Linked DNA regions of Ovis aries. The protein of the gene in region 1 interacts with the protein of each later gene in a biochemical or structural test. Links are inferred from orthologs where the notes say so. Each region holds a gene or a part of one and is shown in the gene's direction. Other genes may lie near its edges. The genes, in order: CRHR1, MPDZ, MAGI1, DLG4, PDZK1, GOPC and DLG1.

The links.
Region 2: the proteins of CRHR1 (region 1) and MPDZ form a complex in vitro, tested with the Homo sapiens proteins (2 studies listed by BioGRID and IntAct, with this or other methods). The link is inferred for Ovis aries from reciprocal best matches to the Homo sapiens genes CRHR1 and MPDZ.
Region 3: the proteins of CRHR1 (region 1) and MAGI1 form a complex in vitro, tested with the Homo sapiens proteins (2 studies listed by BioGRID and IntAct, with this or other methods). The link is inferred for Ovis aries from reciprocal best matches to the Homo sapiens genes CRHR1 and MAGI1.
Region 4: the proteins of CRHR1 (region 1) and DLG4 form a complex in vitro, tested with the Homo sapiens proteins (2 studies listed by BioGRID and IntAct, with this or other methods). The link is inferred for Ovis aries from reciprocal best matches to the Homo sapiens genes CRHR1 and DLG4.
Region 5: the proteins of CRHR1 (region 1) and PDZK1 form a complex in vitro, tested with the Homo sapiens proteins (2 studies listed by BioGRID and IntAct, with this or other methods). The link is inferred for Ovis aries from reciprocal best matches to the Homo sapiens genes CRHR1 and PDZK1.
Region 6: the proteins of CRHR1 (region 1) and GOPC form a complex in vitro, tested with the Homo sapiens proteins (2 studies listed by BioGRID and IntAct, with this or other methods). The link is inferred for Ovis aries from reciprocal best matches to the Homo sapiens genes CRHR1 and GOPC.
Region 7: the proteins of CRHR1 (region 1) and DLG1 form a complex in vitro, tested with the Homo sapiens proteins (3 studies listed by BioGRID and IntAct, with this or other methods). The link is inferred for Ovis aries from reciprocal best matches to the Homo sapiens genes CRHR1 and DLG1.

What each region holds. Positions count from the first base shown.
Region 1 is NC_056064.1:45,564,456-45,567,955, forward strand, and holds part of CRHR1 (corticotropin-releasing factor receptor 1), read left to right. Parts: intron 1-707; coding exon 708-827; intron 828-3,500.
Region 2 is NC_056055.1:81,729,768-81,733,267, reverse strand, and holds part of MPDZ (multiple PDZ domain protein), read left to right. Parts: intron 1-553; coding exon 554-766; intron 767-1,171; coding exon 1,172-1,311; intron 1,312-2,165; coding exon 2,166-2,379; intron 2,380-3,287; coding exon 3,288-3,416; intron 3,417-3,500. UniProt on the Homo sapiens protein: Member of the NMDAR signaling complex that may play a role in control of AMPAR potentiation and synaptic plasticity in excitatory synapses. Promotes clustering of HT2RC at the cell surface.
Region 3 is NC_056072.1:36,129,980-36,133,479, forward strand, and holds part of MAGI1 (membrane-associated guanylate kinase, WW and PDZ domain-containing protein 1), read left to right. Parts: intron 1-275; coding exon 276-569; intron 570-3,500. UniProt on the Homo sapiens protein: Plays a role in coupling actin fibers to cell junctions in endothelial cells, via its interaction with AMOTL2 and CDH5. May regulate acid-induced ASIC3 currents by modulating its expression at the cell surface.
Region 4 is NC_056064.1:26,802,664-26,805,995, reverse strand, and holds part of DLG4 (disks large homolog 4), read left to right. Parts: intron 1-307; coding exon 308-422; intron 423-1,741; coding exon 1,742-1,918; intron 1,919-2,190; coding exon 2,191-2,227; intron 2,228-2,334; coding exon 2,335-2,362; intron 2,363-2,493; coding exon 2,494-2,541; intron 2,542-2,647; coding exon 2,648-2,749; intron 2,750-3,073; coding exon 3,074-3,246; intron 3,247-3,332. UniProt on the Homo sapiens protein: Postsynaptic scaffolding protein that plays a critical role in synaptogenesis and synaptic plasticity by providing a platform for the postsynaptic clustering of crucial synaptic proteins.
Region 5 is NC_056054.1:99,019,408-99,022,907, reverse strand, and holds part of PDZK1 (Na(+)/H(+) exchange regulatory cofactor NHE-RF3), read left to right. Parts: intron 1-673; coding exon 674-869; intron 870-3,041; coding exon 3,042-3,238; intron 3,239-3,500. UniProt on the Homo sapiens protein: A scaffold protein that connects plasma membrane proteins and regulatory components, regulating their surface expression in epithelial cells apical domains.
Region 6 is NC_056061.1:20,413,694-20,417,778, forward strand, and holds the start of GOPC (Golgi-associated PDZ and coiled-coil motif-containing protein), read left to right. Parts: upstream 1-1,285; 5' UTR 1,286-1,503; coding exon 1,504-1,791; intron 1,792-4,085.
Region 7 is NC_056054.1:192,592,994-192,597,252, reverse strand, and holds the start of DLG1 (disks large homolog 1), read left to right. Parts: upstream 1-1,459; 5' UTR 1,460-1,581; exon of another isoform or gene 1,582-1,675; intron 1,676-1,956; exon of another isoform or gene 1,957-2,410; intron 2,411-2,874; 5' UTR 2,875-2,905; coding exon 2,906-2,948; intron 2,949-3,584; coding exon 3,585-3,716; intron 3,717-4,259. UniProt on the Homo sapiens protein: Essential multidomain scaffolding protein required for normal development. Recruits channels, receptors and signaling molecules to discrete plasma membrane domains in polarized cells.

The sequences.
Region 1 (3,500 bases):
TTATTGATAGGCCCAGAGGTGGCAAGTGACTTGCCTACACTCACACAGCAAATGAGTAGCAGAGCCCAGTCTGAAGCCTGGGTTCCGAATTACTACTTCAGTAATTCCCCACATAGTGTCTCTCTCCCTTTTTTCTCCATGATCCCTCTCAGCCAGTCCTTTCCTAGGTCCTTTCCTAGCATAGATTAGAGCACAAATGTTCAGTGATTGTGGTTATCAGGTGAGCTGGAAGGTGGGCCAACTTCTTTTAACTGGTTCCTACAGGTTCAGAGCAGATGTGGTTTGGTTCTAGAGGCGTGTAAGGGGACTGAGTCAGGGATTGGCTGGGTTTCTTCCAAGCTGTTCCAGGCTGTGAATTCTGAGCGCTCCAGTCTACACCAAGTGCAGGGCCAAGAGAAGTGTCCTCAGACTACAGAGCAGGGGACCTGGAGCATGTCCAGCCTTCCTCTAAATGCCAGCCAGGACCTCAGCTTTACCACCACCCCAGTGTCTCTGTTCCTCCTCTGCTCTGGAACCCACATTGGCTCCCTAGTGCCATAGCATCAAATTCAGATTCCTTCCCTTGGTATCTCCTCTGCAGAAAAAGAGCTCCTCTCTGCACTGGGGTCATTGCTGTCCTGTCCTCAGTTGGTGTGTGAATGTAGACTGGTTGGGGGGACACTGGAGTGGGGATGTTGCTCTGTCTCACCAGCCGTCTCTGCCTCCAGGACTGCAGTGCAATGCTTCCGTGGACCTTATTGGCACCTGCTGGCCCCAGAGTCCTGCAGGGCAGCTGGTGGTTCGACCCTGCCCTGCTTATTTCTATGGCGTCCGCTACAATACCACAAGTAAGGAAGCCTGAGAAAGGTAGACCGTCTCCTGGGAGGTGGGACAGGATGCAGAGAACTGGGGGCTTGTTGCAGGTGGGGAAAATAATACTGACAGTGACAGTAATAATACCAATACCATTCATGGGTACAGCTGCCATTGACCAAAGGCCAGCTGTGTGCTCTACTGGGCACTCTGCTATTTACTGCGGACACTCAGCAATACCCTGGAAGATGCTACATGTAACTATGTTATATAGTTAAGGCCTCCAAGGTTCAGAGAGATTAGGGAAGTTGCCCAAGATCACCAGCTGGTGAGACCGGAATTTGCATCCAGGTCTGACACTTTCTTCTGCAGTTGACCTGCTGGTTAATGTTGGCATGAGCCATGAGGTAGGGCAGGGGTCATCAGAGTAGCCCCAGCTTTGCTCAGAGAAGTTCCCAGGCCTAGCCAGGGTCCTCCAGCCATGAGGTAGGGGACTCAGGGTTTTAGATACACAGGCGGGGGGCTTGTCCTTGCAGGCAGGCCCACAAGTGGGGTGGGGACAGAGGAGAACTGATCCGGGCAGGGCTTGTTCAGATACTTGATCCTCACATAAACACCCTGCTCCCCTTGGGCCCTGAGCCTCCACCTCCAGGCTTTGCAGCTTCTTGCTATGCCACCTGTCACCCTCAGAATTAATTTGCTCTCCCCTGTCAATGACTCACAGCCCCTGCTTATCAAGAGAGCAACAGCTGCAGGCCAGGGGCCCTGACCTGTCTGGGGGGGGGCGGGGTCCCTGGGTGGGCCTTTGGGGTTTGGTGGGCCTGAGCTTAGAGCCCAAAGAGGGGACAGAAGGTGATCTCAGATACCAAATAATTGTGTGACCTTTAGCACATTTTTTTCCCCCTCTTTTATGGTCCTCTGGCCTCTCATCTGAGGATGGAGAGGGCTGGACAACACGGCTTCTTAAAACTTTGTCCAGCTCAAAACTCTCAATTTCCTTCTCCTGCCCCTCCCCTTTTCTACCAGCTGGATTAAGGGGGCTCGGGTGGGGGGCCACAGTCAAGGAGGGGTGGGGAGGGCCCTGGGGAGGTGTTGGGACTGGGCAGGAGGCTGGAACAGCCAGACCATGCAGCCTGGACCCAGGAGGAGAAGAGAGCCTGGAGGAGGTGTGAGGAGAATGTAAGTAGGAGGGAGGGCTGAAGGACCTGAAGAAAAGTTTGGGGTGCTCATCCTGCCAACCTCCAACTTAGTTGGGCCCCTTTTACCATTAGGAAATGGAGGCAGTGAGGCTGAAATCGCCCAAGGTCACAAAGCTTGGAGGTGGCACTGGAGCTGGGAAACCAGAGCCCTCCTGCTCCTCCACTCACCCGGCCGGGTGCCCGGCCCGGGAGCTCCCTGGAGGGAGGCAACACTAGGGCTGGTGTATGTTGGGGGGTGGGGGGCTACTTCCAAAAGGAGCCCCGCAGCCCCGCCCATGACAGCACCAGGTCCTGTCAGCTCCACCTCCAGAGTGATCCTCACGTCTGACCCTCCCTGCCTTCCATCCCCAGTGCCGCTGCCCCGGTTCAGGATACCTCACTTTCCAGTCCTCGTCTCTCATCCGACCCTGTCACACCCTTGCTTGGAGTCGACCTTTCTGTGGTTCCTTCTCTGTGGCTACCGTGCGACCTACCTTTGAGCCAGCCCTGGCCACTCCCCATGAACTGCCCCCACTCTTGTCCCCAAGGACAACTCGACAGCCCCCCAAATACACCATTAGTGCCTAGACACACGCTACTCGACTTGTCAGCCCTGCCTTTGAGTGGAAGCCAGGAGTCCTGGGTTCTAGTCCCAACTCCACACACACCTGGTTAAGGAGCCCTCTGCAACTGGCCCTGCCCGGGCCCTCAGTTTCTCCACCTGCAGGATGGGTGGGAGGTTTGGGTGAAGTGTTCTCTTGGCTCCCTTGCTCTTCCGTCTGTGATCCCAGGAGAAGAGCAGGAGAAGGTGATAATTCCTTGAGGTGGGGGCAGGGCTAGGAGACTCCCCTTTCCAGGTGCCTCCCCTGTCACAGTGATGAGAAACACCGCGTAATCAGGGGCAACTGGGAACCCAGATTTGTACCTAATCATTAGGCACCAGTTAATTCGTTTACCGAGGAGGTGCTGGCAGGACGTCTAGGCCTTCTCCCGAATGCCCTCCTTCCCACTGCATCTGATCTTCAAAGGGATGGGAAATATTTCCAAAAATATCAATTTTCCCGTGATTCTCCAGGAGGACTGCTCAGCTCAGCAATTAAAGACAAGGAGGTCGCATCCTCCCTGGAAACTTCATGCTGCCTGTTGGGCCTGTTTTCTTGTGGGATCACCTCACTTCCCACCAGAGCCTGCTCCCTCTGGATGATCCAGCCTGGGAGGGACTCCAGGCTCCTGCCCCACCTGCATTCAAAAGGGGGGGCTTGAGGCAAGGGGGTGCCTCCGGGACCTGTGCCTCCTTTGATAGCGACAAGTGGCATATTCTGAGTCTTATGTAAGGTTGTATAAATATAGCTCCAAGACAATAATAATAAAAGCAACAGCTCACACCACATGCCAAGTAGAGCTCCACATACCCTGTATGTGTCAACTAAAAACGCCTCTCAACCATTGAGCAGGAACTCTTGTTAAGATCATTCCTGTCTTGCAGATAAGGAAGCAGAGAGGCTGAAGGACTCGTCCAAGGTCACAGAG
Region 2 (3,500 bases), on another chromosome or scaffold:
GCCAGGCCTCTCTTTGGGAGAGACCAAATTCTTTACTGCATAAGTTGTTATGAAAATTCAAGTAATATAGGAAGTAAATGTCTCCCTGGATTCCCATATCTTGGGGACAACTATGTCTCCCTGGATTGCCATATCTTGGAGACAGCTATTGCTGTATTGGTTATTTAGTATATATTGTTCCAGGTGTTTAATAATTTTTTGAATGTACATTGAACTATATTTTGCTTATTGTTCATTAACTAGGCTTTTTCACTTAAGAATGTATGTATAGATGTATGTATTTTTGTGTGTTTAAACGAGTACTTTGAAATTGAATGCTAATTTGTTTCACATAATTAGTGTTTAAAACTTTTTCCACCTAAAAATAATGCATCCTTGCATGTACATCTTAGTGTGTTTTTCTAATTTTTCTTCTTGAAATAGAGTTTCTGAATAAAATGGTATGGACATTTTGAACTTTCATATGTACTTCATTATTACCCCTCTTGGGATGATTTCTGTGAGGTAGCTTCTAGAATATCAAAATTGTTAATAATCTCCATATTATTCTTAGGTAAACATTGCAACTTCAACAATTTCAAATGTCGAGTATGGTCACATTCCGCATCTCAGCCCAGGTGTAATTCCTACTCTACAAAATGAATCATTTTTATCATCCCCAAATAATGGAAATCTGGAAGTTCTTACAGGATTGAGTACTACTGCACACATCAATGGGAAACCTGCTTGTGATGAATTTGATCAACTGATCAAAAATATGGCCCAGGTAAGAGCGTTTGTTCCTGTTATGATAGAATGTGTCCTGGATAATTTGAAGAATACTTGCATATTTATATTACATATGTTAAATGTATACTTTAAATATATTATTATAATAGAAAATATGCAATAGTATATTTTGTTTTATATTCTTATTACATTTTACTGAACAACAATATAAAGTATATCTTAAATGTATATTATACTATGATATACTTATTTATGAAGACATTTTTAACATTGAAAAAATTAGAATGAAAAAGCTGTAGATTTCATGTAAGTTTAAGTGCTTCAGGGATTTTTCTAAATGAAGGTTATCTTAGAAAAAAATTAAAAAAAAAATTTAAACAGATTAATGCCACTATGCAGTGGCTGGCATGTAATTATATTCCTTGCTTCTTTTTCTGGACAGGGTCGCCAGGTAGAAGTTTTTGAGCTCCTCAAACCTCCATGTGGAGGCCTTGGGTTCAGTGTGGTGGGACTGAGGAGTGAAAACCGGGGAGAGCTGGGTATATTTGTGCAGGAGATCCAGGAGGGCAGTGTGGCCCACAGGTGAGACTGTCACTGTGACTTCTCTGTTTCTGATACCACATTCAGAAGGTGCTGCTCACCCTAGAAGAATTTTAAGAAACAAAAATGCCTAAAAACAAAAACAATATAAAATGTTATTAATCAGTTTTTAGAAATCATTAACATTGCTACAATAACAAGAAAGTCCTTTGAAGGCAGATTAACTTTTAAATATAGTCATGACTTAATCACTTTTTAATAAGGAAATAAACATTTGACTAGGACATCACTCCCATTGTTTTTAAACAGGCTCTTTTTGATTAGATTTAAAAATTATAGAAAAGCATTCAAGTGGTCTGTGATAATATCAGCTGTATTTTATTAACATACCCAAAACAACAAGTAAGAGCTGTATTTTATTAATATGCTCAAAGCAAAAAAGTAAACATATCCTTCTTTGCATTCATTTGTAGAAGATAATAGCAGTACTAAAATACAACATATAGGTTGAATGAGTAGCTAAAAGGAAGATGGCTGTTAAATGGGAGTGGTTGACTAGGGTTAGGTCAGCTGGTGCCAAAGCATATATAGTTTTCCCTTCTATTTTTATTGAGATGTAATTGACATATAGCGGTATGTAAATTTAAGGTGTATAGCATCATGATTGGACTTACATCATGGCGTGATTATCACGGTAGGTTTTTTGAACAGCATGTCACCTAGAACAAAATTAAAGAAATAGAGATAAAATATTTTAAGAGTACAATTGCAAGAAAAAAGTTACATAGTGTGGACATTAGAAAATAGAATTAAAAATAACCTGAAAATGCATTCCAAAGAAGCAGTCATTTTCTTGAGATCTATCGGTTATCTTTTATCCCCCTTTTCATTGTTAGAGATGGAAGATTGAAGGAAACTGACCAAATCCTTGCTATTAATGGACAGGCACTGGATCAGACAATTACACATCAGCAGGCCATCAGCATCCTGCAGAAAGCCAAAGATACTGTCCAGCTGGTTATTGCCAGAGGCTCATTGCCTCAGCTTATCAGCCCCATAGTTTCCCGTTCTCCATCTGCAGCGAGCACAATTTCAGCTCATTCTAACCCGGTGAGTACATAAGTTTTTCAAGGGGAACAGAACATATTTTTCTAATTCTTTAAGGTTTTGCACAGGTTTGCAATTCCTATAGGTTCTTTGTATTTCTTGGGTTTTTGCCTTTTTGTTCTTTATTCTCTTCTGAGCATAGAATATATTTTATGCAATTATGATTAAGTTTCTGGCTTCCAGAAAACTTTTATTTTTTTTGTGTAGCTTTTAAACTTGAATTCATTCCTAAGAAAGGAAAAAGTCCCTTAAAGATTGACTATCTGTAAACAAATAAAATCTTGATTTTACTTTTTAAGTTGTTAGAGTTAGCTATCAGTGACTTTAACAGGTCATTTAATTTGGGGGCATCCCAGGTGGCTCAGACAGTGAAGAATCCCCCTGCAGTACAGGAGACCTAGTTCAATCCCTGGGTCGGGAAGATACACTGGAGAAGGGAATGGCTGCCCACTCCAGTGTTTCTGTCTTGGAAATTCCATGGACAGAGGAGCCTGCCGGGCTACAATCCATAGTGTTGCAAAGAGTTGGACACGACTGAGTGATTAACACTTTCTCACTTAACTTGAAATCTAATGAAACAAGATTTATGTAGAAGAAATTTTTAACAGCTAACATTTTTTTTTCTCTTTTTCTTTGATTATCTTTTTTTAAACTCTTAAAAGGATCTTGCCAGTCTGTATCTTTACCTGGTTAAATAGAGCCACTATAATGATGTATTGATAATTTCAAGAATGGCTGTATCAACAGTAGTAACAACCTGTTGAAAGAGAAGTGTACTAAATAAAAGGGACCCTGTTAAAACTCATTATTATGTTGCACTCATTTAATACTAATCGCAAAATAATATTCACAGAAATCTCAACTACAATAAAATTTTAGTTTTCAAATTGACATGAGGGCTTTGTTTGCAGGTTCACTGGCAGCATGTGGAAACTATTGAATTGGTCAATGATGGTTCTGGTCTGGGCTTTGGCATCGTAGGAGGAAAAGCAACTGGTGTGATTGTGAAGACCATTCTGCCTGGAGGTGTAGCTGATCAGGTAAGCTATTCCAGCAGGTATTTTATGTTTTATACAATAATACAGCTTCTTCTTGTATATTTCCATCAAAAAGAGGAGGCTTTG
Region 3 (3,500 bases), on another chromosome or scaffold:
GCGTCCAAATACAGACGCTGATACACAGTATGCCCTAAATGTAACAGACTCTGGGCGTCCCCTTTGTTCTCCCATGGTATGGGTGTCTGCAGACCCTGAATGCTAAATGCTTATCAGAGTGGTTTTCGGTTCCTGTGTCTCAGTTATGTGAGGCCAGGTGCTGTCAAAGCTGTCACTCTCTTGGTTTGGTTGTGGAGTAGATGGGGGAAGGAGGAAGGGGTGACGGCACATTTCTTGGCAGAGGCGGGTAACCAAGAGGTATGTCTCTTGCACAGCCCCCAAAACTGAGAACGAGGTACCCTCGCCAGCCTCATCCCATCACAGTAGCAACCAGCCGGCCTCGCTGACGGAGGAGAAGCGGACCCCGCAGGGCAGCCAGAACTCCCTGAACACGGTGAGCTCAGGCAGTGGCAGCACCAGCGGCATCGGCAGTGGCGGCGGCGGCGGCAGCGGTGTGGTGAGCACCGTGGTCCAGCCCTACGACGTGGAGATCCGGCGCGGCGAGAACGAGGGCTTTGGCTTTGTCATCGTGTCGTCGGTGAGCAGGCCCGAGGCCGGCACGACGTTCGGTGAGTGTGGTCACTTCTGCTCCCCAGCGTTTCCTGGGGTCACTGTTCTCTGGAGAGGAAAAGACGAGCCAGAATCTCATTAACAGAAATGCTTGTCATGCTTTCCGCTTCAGGTAATGAAAGTCTTAATTGGGGACGGACTTTATTGGGCAGCTTTTCCTCTCCTGAAGGTTGGGATTTTTTTTTTTTTAACTCTTCAGCTTCCATTCTGGTGGCACGTTCACAGGCAGACAACTTCATGCATAGGTGAAATTTGCAAAGAAGCCCCTTGACAGGATAAAGTGTGAGAAATTCTTGCCATAGAGAGACCTTTGCAAGGTCCTGAGCAGGGTATCAATCATAGCAGTTGTCTCAGAAGGTCTCCGCATTTTTAAAAGAAGCATATGGTTTTAGAAATAAATGCCTGTGGGGAGGGGGGAAATAGAGGTGTGAGGAGTAAAAAATATACATGCAATGCCCTTTCCATCTTATCTGTGTCCTTCCTCTACCTATCTCCATCTGAAATTTTTAAATTTTAATTTAAAATAATATGTTTACTGTTGCCTGGTGGAGAATCTAATTAAAATCTGAGTGCAGAGCTGTTTGTCTTCACTGCCCTTGAATTCTAGCAGGGGTGGTTGTCCTGTCTCATCCAGATGTTGAGGGTTTCAGCAGAGAGTGGAGAAACACAACTGTCACCTGCAGGGTACATGGGCTGAGACAAACAGGAAGCCAGGTGATTCTAGGAACTAGGAATCGTGAGTCTTCCTATTAGAATGGATCATAAGTACATACTCCAAAACTGATCCACCTTTTTCATTAAATAAAACGTCATTTGTTGTTTTCCCCAAGCACATTTGTTAGTTAATATGGAATATGATGGGAGATGGGAAGGGCTGTGCAGGCTTTGAAACATGCTTCAGCTCTGTCTCCAAATGACCTACCCACAAGGAGTCTGAGGACCAGTGGTCCAGGTCGCTTGCTGGCCTAACATCAGCTAGGTGCTCCATCCTGTTGGATTTCTGCTCTGGTACAACTCTGTTTGTCTCCATTTAGTCTTGGTACTTTGCTTCCTGCTTAAGTCATGTCCCTTTAAGGTGCAAACTTCAGGGGACAGTGCGTCAAGCCAGGTCTGTGCATGTGTGGCTGCAATAACAAACACGCATTACTAACAATGCCTCTGTGAGCGCTGTTAATAGCATTATCACAGCATGTTGTGGGTGGTGGGTGACTTGACCTCAAGGCAGGGTGGTTTTCTGGCTTGTTTTCTCCATTAGTTTTGAAGACTTTTCCGTCCAATTTAAAAAGAAAAGCAGAGGGGACAAAGACATCTCAAGTTATTTTCTTCAGATCTGCAGTTTGTCCCTATGCACCCAGTGATATTCTCAGAATTTGAGTTTTCAGTTTCTCCTTCTAGAATGAAACAACAGATATGTCTGGTGGGAGGTTTTGTGTTGTTTAACACATATCGAATGTCTTCACTCACAATTTGGTCTTTGATTGTTTTCCTCCAACTTTTACAATGAGCAAATTAAATTTTCCCTAATACCTTGCATGTGACCTCTCTTCTGAGCCACGCAGACTTTCCTCCCACCTGCATGATACCTTTTCCATGGACTTGTCCTTGGAGATGGGCTAAACTTAATCAATACCTTGAATTTGAGTATGGAGGCTTTCCACCACACCTGCTTGTTGCTTTCCAGAAGACTGTTTAACTCTCTTTTGAAAAATTCTTTAACCTTAACCTTAACATCCAGTGATACAGACTCAGGCAAATATGCTGAAATTCGAAGCAATTGCAGCTCATTTCCCATACATTTTATCCTTACACTCTGAATTAGGATGGAAGAGCCTTCTCTTTCAGGGTTTCCCACGTTAATTTTGTCACGCTTTCCCAAAGATGGCTCAACTACGTAACTATCTTTACAGAAAGACAAACTCTCAAAATCAGTGGACATGCCCAACAAAATTTACAACTCAGTATGCAAGTATCTGGAAACCAGATCAGGCCACAAAGCCTGTTTTCCACCTCTCTTCTAAAAGTTACCAGTCACTCTTGGTTGTGACATGAAGTGCCTCAGAGCACACAGTAAACTTTCTTCTTCAAATGCACTTTTCCTGATTTTTCCTGTCAGAGCTATGTAGTAACTGAGGAGGACAAAGGAAATGATTAAAGAAGAAGGGCTGAGGAATGATTTGAACCTAGCTTCAGATCACTGTCCTCCATCTGAGTATGTACTAGATTTTCTTATGGCTTTGAGGGGATTTCTATGAGGAAGAAGGAGGATTTCAGAGCTAATGAGCCATTTGGGCCCTTCTCTGAAAGCCCACAAGAGCAGCTGATTGAGCAAAGGTCATAAAAGGAAAAATGCGTGTCAAGGTTGGGTGCTTCCTTGGCTCATCTCGTAATTATGCCCCTTTGCTAAAGCTTTCATCATGCTGGATAGCAGGCAGAAAGTCTAAGTGTTTGTCTATTAGGTGTTTTCAGATTGGATTTTTGGCACTAGCGGACTCTCTGACCTCACTAGACACCCAGTGATTGTGTTTTCTAAATGGAGAAAGAACAAAACATTGGCAGAAGCTTAAGCAACATCTGGCAAAAATGAAGTGACATGAACACAGAATGTGCAGAAGCTTCCATCCCAGCTCTGGGTTTCGTGTTTGAAGTCCCCAAATAAGCCCACAGCAAGTTACTTTGGGGGCGCTTGAGAATCTTTGGAAATTGCTGAAGATCCCAAATTTTGCCACTGATAGAAAGAGGAAAGCTGGGGTGTCCCCCTCATTTTAAATCGGGAAAGGACTGCAGCAATGAACTATCATTTAGGGCTGTAACTTCTTACCCAAACGCCCGAAACTTTGCCAATGTTTTGACCCTCGGCACAGAGTTCTCCTTTAATAACATTTGCTTAATGCTTTAATTAATTAACACTTAACCTTCTCTTTCCCTTTTCA
Region 4 (3,332 bases), about 19 Mb from region 1:
CCCAAGACACGGGTTCAATCCCTGGGTCAGGAAGATTCCCCTGGAGAAGAAAATGGCTACCCAGTCTAGGATTCTTGCCTGGGAAATCCCATGGACAGAGGAGCCTGGTGGGCTACAGTCCATGAGTTTGCAAAGAATTAGACGCGGCTGAGTAACTAAATGGGAATTACCAAGCCTGAAGCTCCCCCTCTCAGATGGTGCTCAGAACTCTTGTCTCCTGGCTTCTGCAGGGTTTGGGGGAGGTGGGGGGGAAGAGGCTGACAGTAGGGACTGGCCAGAGCTCAGGAACCTTCTTGTCCTTTCTCAGAGTACAGCCGGTTCGAGGCCAAGATCCACGACCTTCGGGAACAGCTCATGAACAGCAGCCTGGGTTCAGGGACTGCCTCCTTGCGGAGCAACCCCAAAAGGGGTTTCTATATCAGGTCAGATGCTTCCTGGCTGGGCCCCTCTTCATTTCATGGCCCCTTGTCCCCCAGCCAGCTCTCCCTCCTCAATCTTGCCTGGCTCCTGTCCCGCCTCCCTCTCTAGGGCTGGAGACGCATAGGTTAGCATTGAGAAATGCTCCATAGCGACTAGAAAACAGCCTCAACCTCAGTGATCCCTACTGCTTCCTAGCCCCTAGTCACCCTGGCACCTCCCCTGGGACCCCCAGCTGCCGCACAGTCTGGTAACTCAAAGGGTAATGCCTGGCAGAGCAGGGGGCCTTTCAACTTTTGGAATATCACCCAGCCCCATGGGATAACGCATTCCAGGGGAAGTGGACCACTGCTCTCTCCAAGCTGACCCTGTCTCCCGGGTGGCATTTTGCTACCTTCTTAGGGCTCCTTCTCCCACTGGGCTCCTCTTTCTTATCTGCCCCAGGTGTAGGCGCTTTGTCCGAGCTTCTTCCTTTCCTTCCCTCTGGGCTCCCGGTCTGCTCACACAGGCTCCCCTTCTGCTCACTCTGCCAGTGTCTCTCAGAGCAGTCAGCCCAGGCCTGACCTCTTCCCCACAGTCCAGACCTGCAGCTCCAGCCATCTGCTTTCTGGACACAACCCTGGGGTTGTCCCACAGGTGTTCACACTCAGCATGTCCCAGAGCTAGCTCACCTTTTCTCCCGAGCGTGCGTGCTCGCTCTCCGTCCTGCCCAGTTGGTATCTCTCTTCCTGAATGACACCGCTGTCTGCCAAGATGCCTGGCTCAAATCAGAGCCTCTCTCGGCCCTTCTCTCCTTGCCGGGTCCGGTTGGCTCCCAGGCCTGGTCGGTTCTGACTCCCAGATGATGCTGATGATCCTTGAGTCCCTTCCCATCTTTCTAGCCCTGGTGCTCTGCTCGGCATCTCTGGTGTCTCTGCAGTCATTTCTTCCCTTGTCCTGACCCTGGAGTTGTCACTTACAGGTTGTCACTTAAGGCCACTCTACTGCTGAGGGTAGCCAGACTTGGGTCCATGTTACCCCGTGACTGTGACGTGCATGCATATGGCAGCTGCTTTCTTAGGAGGGTGCTATTCTCAATCTTACTCTTAAAATCGCCCCCAATCCGTAGGCTGTCTGATCCCTGACACAGCGAGAATTGAATGGCTGTTCATAGTTGTAGAGTTTTAGGTTCCCACACAGTTCTAGGGTTCCTCAGAATCCACAGCATCTCTGGGAAAGCCACCAGCGGCCGTGCGGGTCTGTAGACCCCTAGGCAGAACCTCTGGGCTGGGTCTCGGGGGGCCTTGGCCCTCACCAGACTGACTGGAGGCTACCTGCCCTCCAGGGCCCTGTTTGACTATGACAAGACCAAGGACTGCGGCTTCCTGAGCCAGGCCCTGAGCTTCCGCTTCGGGGACGTGCTTCATGTCATTGACGCCAGCGATGAGGAGTGGTGGCAGGCAAGGCGGGTCCACTCCGACAGCGAGACTGATGACATCGGCTTTATCCCCAGCAAGCGGCGGTGAGCCTTCTTGCCCCTGAAGCTCCCAAGGGCCCCAGGGTGGGCAGCCAGCAGGGAAGGCATGGGTCCACCCCCAGCTTCTTGGGGATCTGTCTGCTGACCCTTCATGGGCACCATGACTCACATGAGCCCTTGGGACAAACACCTCATTTAGGAGCGTGGGGCCCAGGGGCTGCTGCTGGGAGACAGAGTTCTCAGCTGCCCTGGGGGTGGGGGCAAGAGGTCCCCTCACTGGCCATTTCTCTACCCCCATCCCTCCATGTATCCCCCAGGGTTGAGCGACGGGAGTGGTCACGGTTGAAGGCCAAGGTAAGTGGAGAAGGCCGGGAGCTCTGGTGGAAGAGCAGAGGTGGGGTGGTATGGCGCTCGTGGGTCTAGGCTCCTGACTGACTGCATGGCCTGCTCTGTCTCCCTAGGATTGGGGCTCCAGCTCTGGATCACAGGGTAGGTTGGGTCAGGTTGGGGAGACCTGCGGGGAGAGGGGCCCTGGGCTTCTCTTGAGTCCTTGGGAAGGCTGGTGGGGCCCCTGCATCCCCTGCCTCCAAGGCCCTTGCAGATGCCCTGCCTCCTGTTAGGTCGAGAAGACTCGGTCCTGAGCTACGAGACGGTGACACAGATGGAAGGTGAGCCCTGGCAGCACGCCCTGGCCCAGCCCCCCTGCCCCACCTCTGCCCACCCCCCCGCCTGACCCCGATCTCTGCCCCCGCCTAACCGCCACGCTCTCCTCAGTGCACTATGCTCGCCCCATCATTATCCTCGGGCCCACCAAGGACCGCGCCAACGATGATCTCCTCTCCGAGTTCCCCGACAAGTTTGGATCCTGTGTTCCCCGTGAGTGCAGGGCCTTGAGGGGCGGTGGAGGGGGCCCAAGGGGTCACAGGCAGAGCCACTTCTGAACACAGGGTTCTCAGACGAGGGTGCTGCTCAGCCACCCTCAGGTCTGCCGGGACCGTCCCAGGCCTGGGACTCGGATGACCCAGAGGTGCTGGGGGAGGCAGCTCCACCCCTCTCCCCTGGCCTCGGTCTCCCCAGCAGCCCCCTTCCCCGGAGGACCAGCTGGGCTCTCTGCGGGTGGGGGGGGGGGTCGCTGTAGGCAGGGTTGAAGCTGGAGGGATGGTGGTTAGATCTTTGGGGGATGGGGTGACTTCCTGGCAGATACGACGCGGCCCAAGCGGGAGTACGAGATAGATGGCCGGGATTACCACTTTGTGTCATCCCGGGAGAAAATGGAGAAGGACATTCAGGCCCACAAGTTCATTGAGGCCGGCCAGTACAACAGCCACCTGTATGGAACCAGCGTCCAGTCCGTGCGAGAGGTGGCAGAGCAGGTAGGAGCCGTGGCCCATCCCCCTCCTCCTTCTCCCCATGGCCTTCCTCAGCTCTCTAACTCTCTCTCTCTCTGTCTCTCTCCCTG
Region 5 (3,500 bases), on another chromosome or scaffold:
GCTTTGGAATGAGGCCTTTGCTAGTTTCATGTTGTCTTGAAGAAAAGTGTTCTAAAGAACCATTATCTTCTGGATCTTATGTGTAAGTTACTGGAATCACTCTCTAAACTTGTAGTAAATTCGATCTTGAATCAATGTTACTAAAGTGTTTTAATACAAGCTGGAAGATGACTAGTGTGGGTGATGAATATCGAGTTATACATGGGGAGTATCTGATGTGCTATACCCCAAGTCTTATGCCCCAGCAGGATGCACGGAAAACACTCAGAGGTTTTTCTTTGGGGTCATATGGAACCTTGAAAATTGACCAACTGTATCTTTTCTTGGTAGAATGGTATTTCAAAGTAGACCTTTACTTTCTTTTCCAAATTCCTTTCCTAGTCTTCACCTAAGTACCTTTCTGGGTTTTCTGAATTCTGGCTTTCACTTGGGTTCAGTTAGCATCTGTGTGGGTGACGTCATACTTAACAAAGGGAAAAACAACTATATAAGGGAAGATAAATAAATACCAGTGAGGTGGTACAAAACAGTATTACAGCTTAATTAAGCTCAGGACTTACATCCCATATATCCTGTTTAATCTATAGACTGTGTGCCTCAACACAGAAACTTTCCTATTTCCCAGCATCTTTCTTGGAGACTGATGTTGGTCCTCACCTGACTGTTGTTGCAGGTGAAGAAGTCTGGAAGCCGCATCACATTCCTGCTTGTGGACAAGGAAACTGACAAGCACCATAGCGAGCAGAAGATAAAAGTCAAGAGAGAAACAGCCAGTCTGAAACTGCTACCCTGCCAGCCCCGTGTTGTAGAGATGAAGAAGGGAAGCAATGGCTATGGTTTCTACCTGAGGGAAAGCCCAGAACAGAAAGGTAAGGCACTTGAAGAGCAGAAAACTTGGCAGTGTAACCACCCAATTCTTCATCCCAGTCTGACTCCCCAGAGTTCCATTAGGCCCCCCAGCCCCCCATCAGGGTATCCTTAGGTTTTCATAGCAGAATTATAAAGCAGAATTTTGGATCTGAGCAGTAGCATGCCAGTAAATTGGCTCTCTGGGGGGTTAAAAAAAAGCCCTAATTTGTAGTATGTGTTGTTTCGTTGTGGTGTAAATACTCCCACCATGTCTGATTTCAAGCTACAACAGCTGTCATAGAACGCGAAGTTGAGAAGTATTCTCATGAGCTGGTGTGTGACAGCGCCAACATCCCACTAGATCTGAGGCAGGGGTGTGGGTGGGGATCTGGGACATGAATAGAACCAGGAGTCTTTCTGATTCCCTGTAATTCAGTAAGAATTAAGGTCCTCCTACACAAGCTGAATACATTACGAAAAAAAAAAATGTAGGTTCAGGCCATGAAAACTTATTCACCCAGAATTACCATTTTCTTTCCATCATATATATTTACATTAATTTATGAAACATTAATTTGACTCATATGGTATAAAAACATCCTCAGGATCTTTGAGAATATCAAATGAATGTGATAAGAATTCTTCAGTCAAGAAGACCCCTATTTACTAGAGGAGATAAGACATATATGTCCATAACTGAAGGTAGATGGTAAGAAACATCTTAAAACAGGGCAGGTAAGATACTATGGAAATTCAATGCTGGAGCGAGTTTTTCCTCACGAAAAAGGTATTGGGAGGCCTCAAAGTAAAGGTAGCACTTGAGCTCTGGCTTTATAGTATGAATAGAATTTAGGCAAGTTGATGGGGTAGGGACAGATAAGTCCAATCCATGAAGACAGGATTGCGTGAATAAAGCAGGAAGACACAGGCTCAGTTTGATTGCTATTTAAAGTGTAGCACAGAAAATCAAGTTAGAAAGGTCAGTCGGAGAGACATATGATGGACTGTTAGTGCATGCTGAGGAGTTTAGACTTATTTTCAGAGTTAGTGGGGAGTTATTTTTTGAACAGTGTGAGAGAGAAGAAAAATTAAACCTACATTGTCTTGCGGGCTTTACACATCTCAATTACTCCTAATAATTTTGTAAGAATTGCTGAAACTGGGGACTTGAAGAAGATACAACAATTTTTATATGGTCAAATAGTTCTAGTACAGCTAGAATCAAAATTAGGTCTGTTTAGTTCCAAAGCTCACATTCACGCTGTCATGCTGGGGAGTGACTCGCTCAGACGGTGCATCAAGATGAATCTGAAGGCAGGTCTGTACTGGAGAAGGCAAACAAGGAGGGGAGAGCAGCTGGTAAGGTAGCAGGTTAGGAAGAATTCAAGGCAGGAATGAATACAAACTGCATTTCAGGTGGAGGAACTAGGGCTCCAGAAGAGATGTGTAAAAATATTAAGGTAGCACTGAAGGACTTGGCTGATTAGACACAGGGAGTGGATGCTGAGGAAGAATCATGCTACCTGTCAGTGACAGGAGGATGGTGCTCCCACTAACGGGTGACCAAGAGATGCCAAGCAACTAGCTGGAAAAGTGAAATTGGAGCTTGTTAAAACTGTATGAGGGTCAAAAAAAAATTAAGGGTGAGAGATCTGAAGGTTTCTGGTGAAGATGGTTCAATTCCTGAAGACTCAACACCCATCTGTGTGGCACGCACTCACAGATCCATTCACAACTGAATTTGCCCAACTGCTACTAAAAGGCTAGCTTGGGTTTCCTGGGGTCTGAATTCTTTGGTTTTGTTCACCATTCTTCCCATCCTCTCCTCCCCTTTTTTTATGGCTTAGCTTCTACATAAGCATACAAGTATGCACACTGATTTCCTGGGACTTTGCTGACCCTTACTGCTTAGCATGCTGTTTTGCCAAGATTGAATCCCAAACACTTTTAGTAATAACATTCTTTTCTTTAAGACTCTCATTATTAATGACTGGGTTTATTCCTAGAATGAGTTCTGACCAAAGAGCGAGGTGGATAGGATGTGTATAGATATCCTAGTGGGAAGGAGTTGTACTCAGCATGCCTTTTATATCTATTTTATAAAGGCTTTAGGCCCCAGCAGAAATCCCCCAGTTTGTTTTCTATGGATCTTTCTGGTAATTCTATTTAAATTTTTTTTGGGGGGTGGGTAGGTCAAATCATCAAGGACATAGATTCCAAAAGTCCAGCAGAAAAGGCTGGCTTGAAGAACAATGACCTGGTGGTTGCTGTCAATGGCAAGTCTGTGGAGTCCCTTGATCATGACACTGTGGTGGAAATGATTAGAAAGGGTGGAGATCAGACCTCTCTGCTGGTGGTAGACAAAGAGACAGACAACATATATAAACTGGTAAGTAATACAAGGTCACATATTCATGAATTAAGGTTGGGTCCATTCACTCACACCCTCAAACTTTGGTTAAGTTACCACTTTGATCTTCATACTGGAAGAGGCATAACAATCATCATTAAGGCTGTACTGAAGCTCAAATTGGTAGATAAGAGAATGTGATGGGTTCATGAGGTTTAAGTCCTTGGAAATAAGATTTTTGAAAGAATTTGCAAATGTAACTGCAGAATTTCTCTTGGTGACCTAGGAAAAATCTATGAAC
Region 6 (4,085 bases), on another chromosome or scaffold:
AGGGGATTGAGAGTGAGTAAATGGAATGGTAAAGAACAGCTGCTCAATACTCCCAATAGTCACATTAAAGTTGTAGCTATGTGCTCTGCTAATGGGAGGGTCACATCTCATTCATTTTTGTGCCCCTGATGCCTCAACAGGGCTCTGCATTCAATCTGTCTATGAATATGTAAATCTTCATAATTTTGTTTCACTGAAATGTCACGTGTAGGAACACTATCCAAGTGTTTTTTTTAATAAGAACATCTTTTTAGGTAGTTGCTTTGGAAATGTATAACCTGTGGTGTGATAATAAGGAATATCAAGTGCCAAGCCGGAGAAGGCAATGGCAAACCACTCTGGTACGCTTAACTGGAGAATCCCATGGATGGAGGAGCCTGGTAGGCTGCAGTCCATGGGGTCGCTAAGAGTAAGACACGACTGAGCGACTTCACTTTCACTTTTCACTGTCATGCATTGGAGAAGGAAATGGCAACCCACTCCAGTGTTCTTGCCTGGAGAATCCCAGGGACGGGGGAGCCTGGTGGGCTGCCATCTATGGGGTCGCACAGAGTCGGACACGACTGAAGCGACTTAGCAGCAGCAGCAGCAGCAGCAGTGCCAAGCACTGCTAAGCATTTTACCTTATTACTGAGCGAAAGAAAATTTGGAAACTGAGGCTTTGAGGTTAAAAAATACAACTAAGATGGCACAGCTAATAGGGGATAGGACTTAAAACTTGAACCCAAGGCTGTCTGACTTTTAATCACAAGAGGAAAGGACTCCTCTTAATTAAGCAACACCTGGTGAGCCGCTGTCCTTCAACTTTGCAGTTCTAGGCATTTCCATCCAGAATTTAAGGCCTGGTTTACCGAGAAGAGCAAGTGTGTCCACCCACCCCATCCGCATCACCCGTAACAGGAACTGGACTGGAAAAGGTAAAACGTGGCCACTGCGCATGCTCACACGGCCCTTTCTCACCCTTCCCACAGAATGTTACCGCGGCAACTTTGTCGGACTACTTTAGAACGGTTCCTGCCCACTATGAAGTCAAAGGGGTGGAAGCTGTTCCTCTCTGCGACGTGGACACCCTTCTCTTCTCCGGGCTTTTCCAACTTGGAAGCCCACACCATGCATCTCCCGTGGATTCAAGCTGGAGTTTGCCAGTTCTCAACATGGCCGTTGACAGGCCGGTCCCAAACGGAGGCTTTTCATAGGCCAAGGTCGCACCCTAGCTCCGCCCATTTCGTCCCTCAGGGCTGCGTCTGCCTAGGTCTTTTCTACGCAGGCGCGGCGGGGGCGGGCCGCGAGGTGGGACGGCCCGCGTCTTCCGTGTGCCACCGCCGCCGCCTCTGCTCTGCTGCTCTTGCCCCTCCGGGGCTTCGTTGCCGGCGTTAGCCACGCGAGGGGAAGAGAGGGGACGGACGGAGCGTGCGTGCGCGGGGCTTCCCGCAGTCCCAGCAGTTCCTCTCGCGGGGTGGACGACGGGGTCAGCAGCAGTCGGGGGAGGCCCTAGACGGCGCCATGTCGGCGGGCGGTCCATGCCCGGCAGGGGCCGGAGGGGGCTCAGGGGGAGCCTCTTGCGCCGTGGGGGTCTCCCCTGGCGGAGTATCTATGTTCCGGTGGCTGGAGGTGCTGGAGAAGGAGTTCGACAAGGCCTTCGTGGATGTGGATCTGCTCCTGGGCGAGATTGATCCGGACCAGGCGGACATCACTTATGAGGGGAGACAGAAGATGACCAGCCTGAGCTCCTGCTTTGCGCAGCTTTGCCACAAAGCCCAGACTGTATCCCAAATCAACCACAAGCTAGAGGTGAGCCTTGAGCCCTGGAGGGGGTGGCATTCAGCTCCAGCCATCAGACTTCATTTAACGCACCGGTGAAAAACTGCCAGCTCGGGTACCTGGGCTTCCTATGTGGCGGGAGTGCGTGTATGTGAAGGAAAAGAGTGAGGTGAGGTGAGAGCAGGAAGAGCTGTGTAGGTTGACATGTAGGTCTCCTGGGGTCCTGAAAGCCACCTGCCTGGTATCTCTATGAGGAGGAAACAGGAACTAATTAGACCTGTCTACTTGTGCCTTTTCGTTAAGAAGCCTAAGACTTCACAGAAGCTCAAAGATGCTCCGTCATAAGAATATTTTAGCTCACCTTTTAACATTTGAGTTTTTTAGATCTAGTTTCACATTGCAGGTTTGTATATGGCCAATCCTGATTATTTTGGACTATTTCAGGTCAATTTTCATTGTTGCACACAGCGCTATTCCTTGCCTGCATGAACTATTTAGGGGAATTTGATCAAAGCTTTTAGGAAAATGGGATAAACAAGATAGGATCAATGTCTGTCTCAGTTTACAGTTAGTCCTTAAATTACAGTCACATACCTCCAGAGCTCCCTACGGTTATTCAGATGACTTCTAATATTGAGGTGTGTCTGTACTTTACTACATTTCCCCAAATCTGGATTTGTTTTTGAAAGTGTGTGAAGAGCGATCATTTGCTTAAGTCTCTCATCTTGGTTGTGGGTGTGAGTGCAGTAGTAGTAGTTCCCAAAAAACCTACCATGTTTTGCAGAAAATTAAATTAGCATATTTTTACAATATTTAGAAATCATGATAGATTAACATTATTATATAAAGAGCATTTTAAATTATATAATGTAAATAAGAGAATGGGTCTTCATTTTAAAGTGGATAAAAATAGGATAATAAACGATATGCAAAGCTCTTTGACATTAGATTTCCTAAGAAATCGTTACTATCAGTTGTGATGATTGAGATTGCCCACGGGATCCAAATCAATATGAATATCAGAAATGCATTCTCTCCTTGCTTAGTAGTTAGCATTCTTTCTTTTTCCTGTCTGTCATGGAAAAGGTAGTATAATTTATCTTTGATGAGCATAGAATTGTATATGGGAGATTTTGTGATTCTTCTTCACTGAAAGAACTGTTAGTTTCTTTTACCCTTTTTGAAAAGGTTGGACGTGTTGACATAAAGCTAATCATTTATTAATCTACATCTGTGAAAATGTCTCTTGATTTCTTGATTCAGCTGTAGTTTCTAGAAGATGGTTATTTATTCAGGTAGTGACATTGCATTTGATGGTCTTCAGTAGCTTTTGCTATTCATCCTATACAACTGAGAGTTTTTACTGAGGACAGAAGAGCCTGGCAGGCAACAGTCCATAGGGTCGCAAAAAGCTGGATACAACTGAGGAAGTATACACACACACACACTGAGGATAAACAGAGTTTTTAAAAATGAAACAAAGTCTAATTCATTTTTTAAGAGACTTACGGAAACTTTGATGTTTTGATGTCAGATTTTAAAAATCTAATTTTGGAGAAATGATTGTTCTGTGAGCAGGTGATGCTCAGTTTTTTCATCTTTAAATATTTTAAATGAGTATTTAGAGTTATATTATGCATTTTCTTTTTGAGAAATCATAATTATGTATTCTGATTCCATGTCCTGGCTTAGAAGGTGGCTTTATTTCTCAAAACAAGAAATGCTAGCCCATCACAATGTAGGCACGTTTTTTTTTAACATCCTTGAAGCTTTTGATTTGAAGAGTTTAGAAAATAGGGGTTGTTTGTGTGTTTTTTCAGTTACAGTTGACTTCTTTGTAAGGTTACTGTTTCTCTGTTTAACAGTTTCTACAGTTTTCATGGAATCCGTTGTGTATTGCTGAGGAGAGAGTCATTGTCAGCAGTGCCTTTCAAAGTAGATCTGCCTTTGTATCATCTGCAGAATTTCAGAGGTGGCCCTGTGTACCTTTAGCAGTCTTTTGAGATCTTGAAATTTTAGCAAAGATTTCATACTTTCTTGCCCTGTTTTATTTTTTAGTAAGTGAATTAAATTCATTTTATTGCTTTAAGGATATGGACATTAAGGCATAATATTTGAGGTCACTTATGGTCTGATGTAGTGCACCAGATGTGCACCAAATTTCGGTTCTTTAATATACTTAAAGCATATTACCATAATAACATATTTTTATAATCAAGAAACAGACACCTCCAAGAGTAACTTAGATTTAAATTGAGCATCCTTCCGGATTGCCCTTCTTCTGCTAAGTTATTGTCTTTAGGTAGTTAATTTAATATTAATAT
Region 7 (4,259 bases), on another chromosome or scaffold:
TACTTCTTTGCATTGATCACTGAGGAAGGGTTTCTTATCTCTCCTTGCTAGTCTTTGGAACTCTTCATTCAGATCGGTATATCTTTCCTTTTCTCCTTTGTCTTTCTCTTCTCTTCACAGCTATTTGTAAGGAATCACTGCACATCATGACTGCAGCCATGAAAAGACGCTTGCTCCTTGGAAGAAAAGTTATGACCAACCTAGGCAGCATATTAAAAAGTAGAGACATTACTTTGCCAACAAAGGTCTGTCTAGTCAAAGCTATAGTTCTTCCAGTAGTCATGTATGGATGTGAAAGTTGGGCTATAAGAAAGCTGAGCGCAGAAGAATTGATGCTTTTGAACTGTGGTGTTGGAGAAGACTCTTGAGAGTCCCTTGGACTGCAAGGAGATCCAACCAGTCAATCCTAAAGGAAATCAGTCATGAATATTCATTGGAAGTACTGATGCTGAAACTCCAAACTTTGGCCACCTGATGGGAAGACCTGGCTCATTGGAAAAGACCCTGATACTGGGAAAGATTGAAGGCGCGAGGAGAAGGGGACGACAGAAGATGAGATGGTTGGATGGCATCACCAACTCAATGGACATGAGTTTGAGTAAGCTCCAGGAGTTGGTGATGACAGGGAGGCCGGGCGTGCTGCAGTCCATGGGGTCGCAAACAACTGGACACGACTGAGCGACTGAACTGAATTGGGTGATCTTAGGCAAATTCTTCTCTCTGGATCAGAGCATGGAGGTTGCTGGTACACAGAAGAGGGTCGAAGATGTGGAAATGATTTGGACATCTTTGCCCAATTCCTTTTCCAGATCCTGGGAGGCTCAGCCCCGAAGCGGGGTCCCAGCCGGCTAGTAGTCCCTTTCCTGCTGCTGCTGCTGCTAAGTCACTTCAGTCGTGTCCGACTCTGTGTGACCCCATAGACGGCAGCCTACCAGGCTCCCCCGTCCCTGGGATTCTCCAGGCAAGAACACTGGAGTGGGTTGCCATTTCCTTCTCCTAGGGACTACGTAAACTAGCTTTAAACTAGTTTTGCTGAGCTTCAGCGGTAGCTACAGGTGAGTTCTTAAAGGGGCCGCCAGAGCTTGGGTAATACGTGAAGCTGTTGACTTGGAGGGAGTTGCAGGCAAGGGAGAATGAATGAGAAAACGAACGAACCAATTTTCTATTCCCTTCCTTAAATGCATTCATACTTGGAATTAATCACTTAGATTTAAAAAATTCTCTGGCAAAACCTTCAATTTCTTATCAGATTAACTAATCTCCATATTTTACCTACCCTTCTTTAACTCAGTTCCTCCAAAACTTTTACTGAGGGGCTAACAGTAACTTGAAAAAATTAGCACCAAGTGTAAGAATGCAGAGACGGCACCCCTCCCCCTCGCAAACACCTCCCTTTTCCCCCTCCCAGGCCCCGCCCTTTCCCGCCCCCTATCGTGGGTGGTGCAGTCGACACCTCCCTGAGAATGCTTTTCCAGGTTGGGGATCCACCCCCGGGGTGGATCTCTCCGGCAGAGTTGGAAACGACACGCATTTAGTGAGGTTAAAGGGTGTCTCGGAATGTGTGTCCTGGATCTGGTGTAGGTGAGGTCACATTTCTCTTCCGACACTGTCACTCTTCCTCGCCTGGTGCGCTACTCGCTCAGAGCCGCGGGACACACCGGTGGGCTAGGACGAGGTAAAGGCGGGCTCTTCCAGGGCGCCCTGGCCCACCTGTAGAGTCTGTGCGTCAACTCCTTTGTTCTCAGAACCACTTCGGTGGCCGCGCCTTTACGCAAGGAGGTTCACTTCGACGTTCCTCAGGTCCCCTTCTGCCGTCCCCAGCCCCCTCCTGGCCCTCCTCCCTCTTCGAACCCAAAGGTTGCAGCGCTGAGAGCCCGGGGCTCGGCGCGAGCCGCCTCCTCACTTCCCATTGGCTGAGAGCGCTGGGAAAGCGGTCACGTGGGGGCGCGGCAATCCAGATCAAGGGCCGCCATCTTGGCGGAAAGTTTGGGGGGAGAGCGGTTGGGGGCGCGGAAGGAGGCGAGGTTCCGGGGGTGTGGCGGCTAAGAGCTGAGAAGGCGAGCGGGCTAGCGGGTACCGGCGAGTGAGGAGGCGCCGGCGGCTGAGGCGGAGGAAGAGGCAACGGGGGTGCAGCCGCCGAGGGGAGCTCCTCCCCCGTTCCCTCACCCCCCTCTGCACAGCTCCGCAAGCCCCGGGTGGGGCGGGGGGACGTGGAGCGGGGCAGGGCGGGGGAGACGGGCCGGGGCGCACCCCAGCTCCGGGCGCACGCCACTCGCAGGAACTTTGTGGCGGCGCCGCAGGTGTGGGGGCCCGCGGAGGTGTGCATGTGGGGCACGAGGGCGTCGGAGAGCGGCCGCTGTCCTGTCCGGCCCTCGCTGGAGTAGCTCGGAGGAAGCCAACAAGGAATCAGGCAAGCGAGAGGAGGGGGCCCGAGCAGGGCGGGGTGATCAATCCAGTTGGTTCCTTCTCGGACTGCTTTACAGTCTCTGCTGGTTTAGGGGCCAAGGGTCGGAGCGCCTCTTCACCCCCCAGTAGCAGGTGGGGGGTATGCTTTCTTATGCCGGGGGAGGGGTGGCCCCACGTCTAGCATTAAGCTCCCTTTGGAGAAGGGGCAGCTTTCGAGGAGAGTTTGGCAGCTTGCTCCTGTCTGCTCTTAATTTGCAGGGGAACCCAACCTTAGGTTAAAGCTTTCTACATTGACACTGCTGGGTTTTGAGGCTCTTTCTCCTTTGACTTGGGAAAACTTTGCCAGGTGGACTTTTCAAATAGGGCTAGGAGTTTTTCGATTTGAGAGTTAGAGGTAAATGCTAGGTTAACCTCGATTCTGTTCTTTTCTGAATTCAGTTCTGTTTCCTTTCTGTTTTGTGTTCTAAGGTGTGTGCTCTCTTCCTGATTCTGGAGAAAAATGCCGGTCCGGAAGCAAGGTGAGAGTTTACTTCGGAACTCTTGTGGGTATCCCTTGCTTTTTTCTGTTTTGTGCTTGCTATGTTTTACAGATGTTTGTGTAACTGATGAGACAGCCCAGCCTTAGCCTTATTACTTACGGAATCTAAGCCTCAATCATTCAGAAGATGGAAACACCTAAGTGTTTGTCAAACTTTTTTCCCTTGACATCTCTGTAGTGACTGGAGAGGCAATTAACTTTTTTCCCTCAGAAATGTCTTTTTTAAAAGTTTGTGTTGGCGTTTTAATATTTCATTTAAATCATTCTTAGTAAACCCTTTCGTGAACGAATGTGGAATACTAGCTAAGAACTACTAGTTTTGAAAGAATATTTGAATTATAATGATGGATTGTAGTAATCAGTGTTTGTATATCAGATCAACTGAAACTATGTTACTGGTTAAATGATCACTAGAACACATTGGTTACAAACTACTCACCTTGTTTTATTGTGACATAATGAACAGTTTTTGGATTATTTCATTTCTAAGGACTATATGTACAGGAACATAGTAGCATGGATCGACTTGGAGGTTTGGAGAATTGTTTAGGTTATCTTGCAGAGTATTTTGCTGCATAGCTAGTTTGTAATACTTCCTTGTAAGTATATAATTTTAATCAAACTTTTTTTTTCTTTTCAGATACCCAGAGAGCACTGCACCTTTTGGAAGATTATCGTTCGAAACTAAGCCAAACAGAAGACAGACAGCTCAGAAGTTCCATAGAACGGGTTATTAACATATTCCAGAGCAACCTCTTTCAGGCTTTAATAGGTGGGAATTAAAACTTTATTTGTGACCATTGTGTGTCAGCTGGGCTTAAGGCTTCTCTGAATTCACTTATTTTAAACTTAAGAGAGTGATAGACTTGGCTCTCTGTGAGGCATGCAGTTACTTGAACATCCAGTGAATTGTGTATTTTGATACTTAGACCAATATCTTTTCCAGAAATATCTAATAACCAAAAAAACTTTCAGTATGATTATTTCAGTGGTCTTTGATAACAAAGCATTAAAAAATGAAGAGGTTGCAAAAAGTAATGACTGAATAACTGTTAGCTTGTTTCTTTGTTGGTTTTGTTATTTCTCTGGAATCTCTGAAAATGTTTGAAAAGTTCTGTGTTTAAGAACATTCATTCTCTTAATATAGACCTCTGTTTAAACTTGGCATTTGTAGAATTACAGTTTTAAACTTGAAAAATGATCTTACAGATAATCTTGGTCTAATCTTGTTTTACAGATAAAAATATTGAATATTCTTAACTCTAACTTAAATTTGATGTGGTTCATTGTTTTAAAGGAGAACTGAACAAGGGTG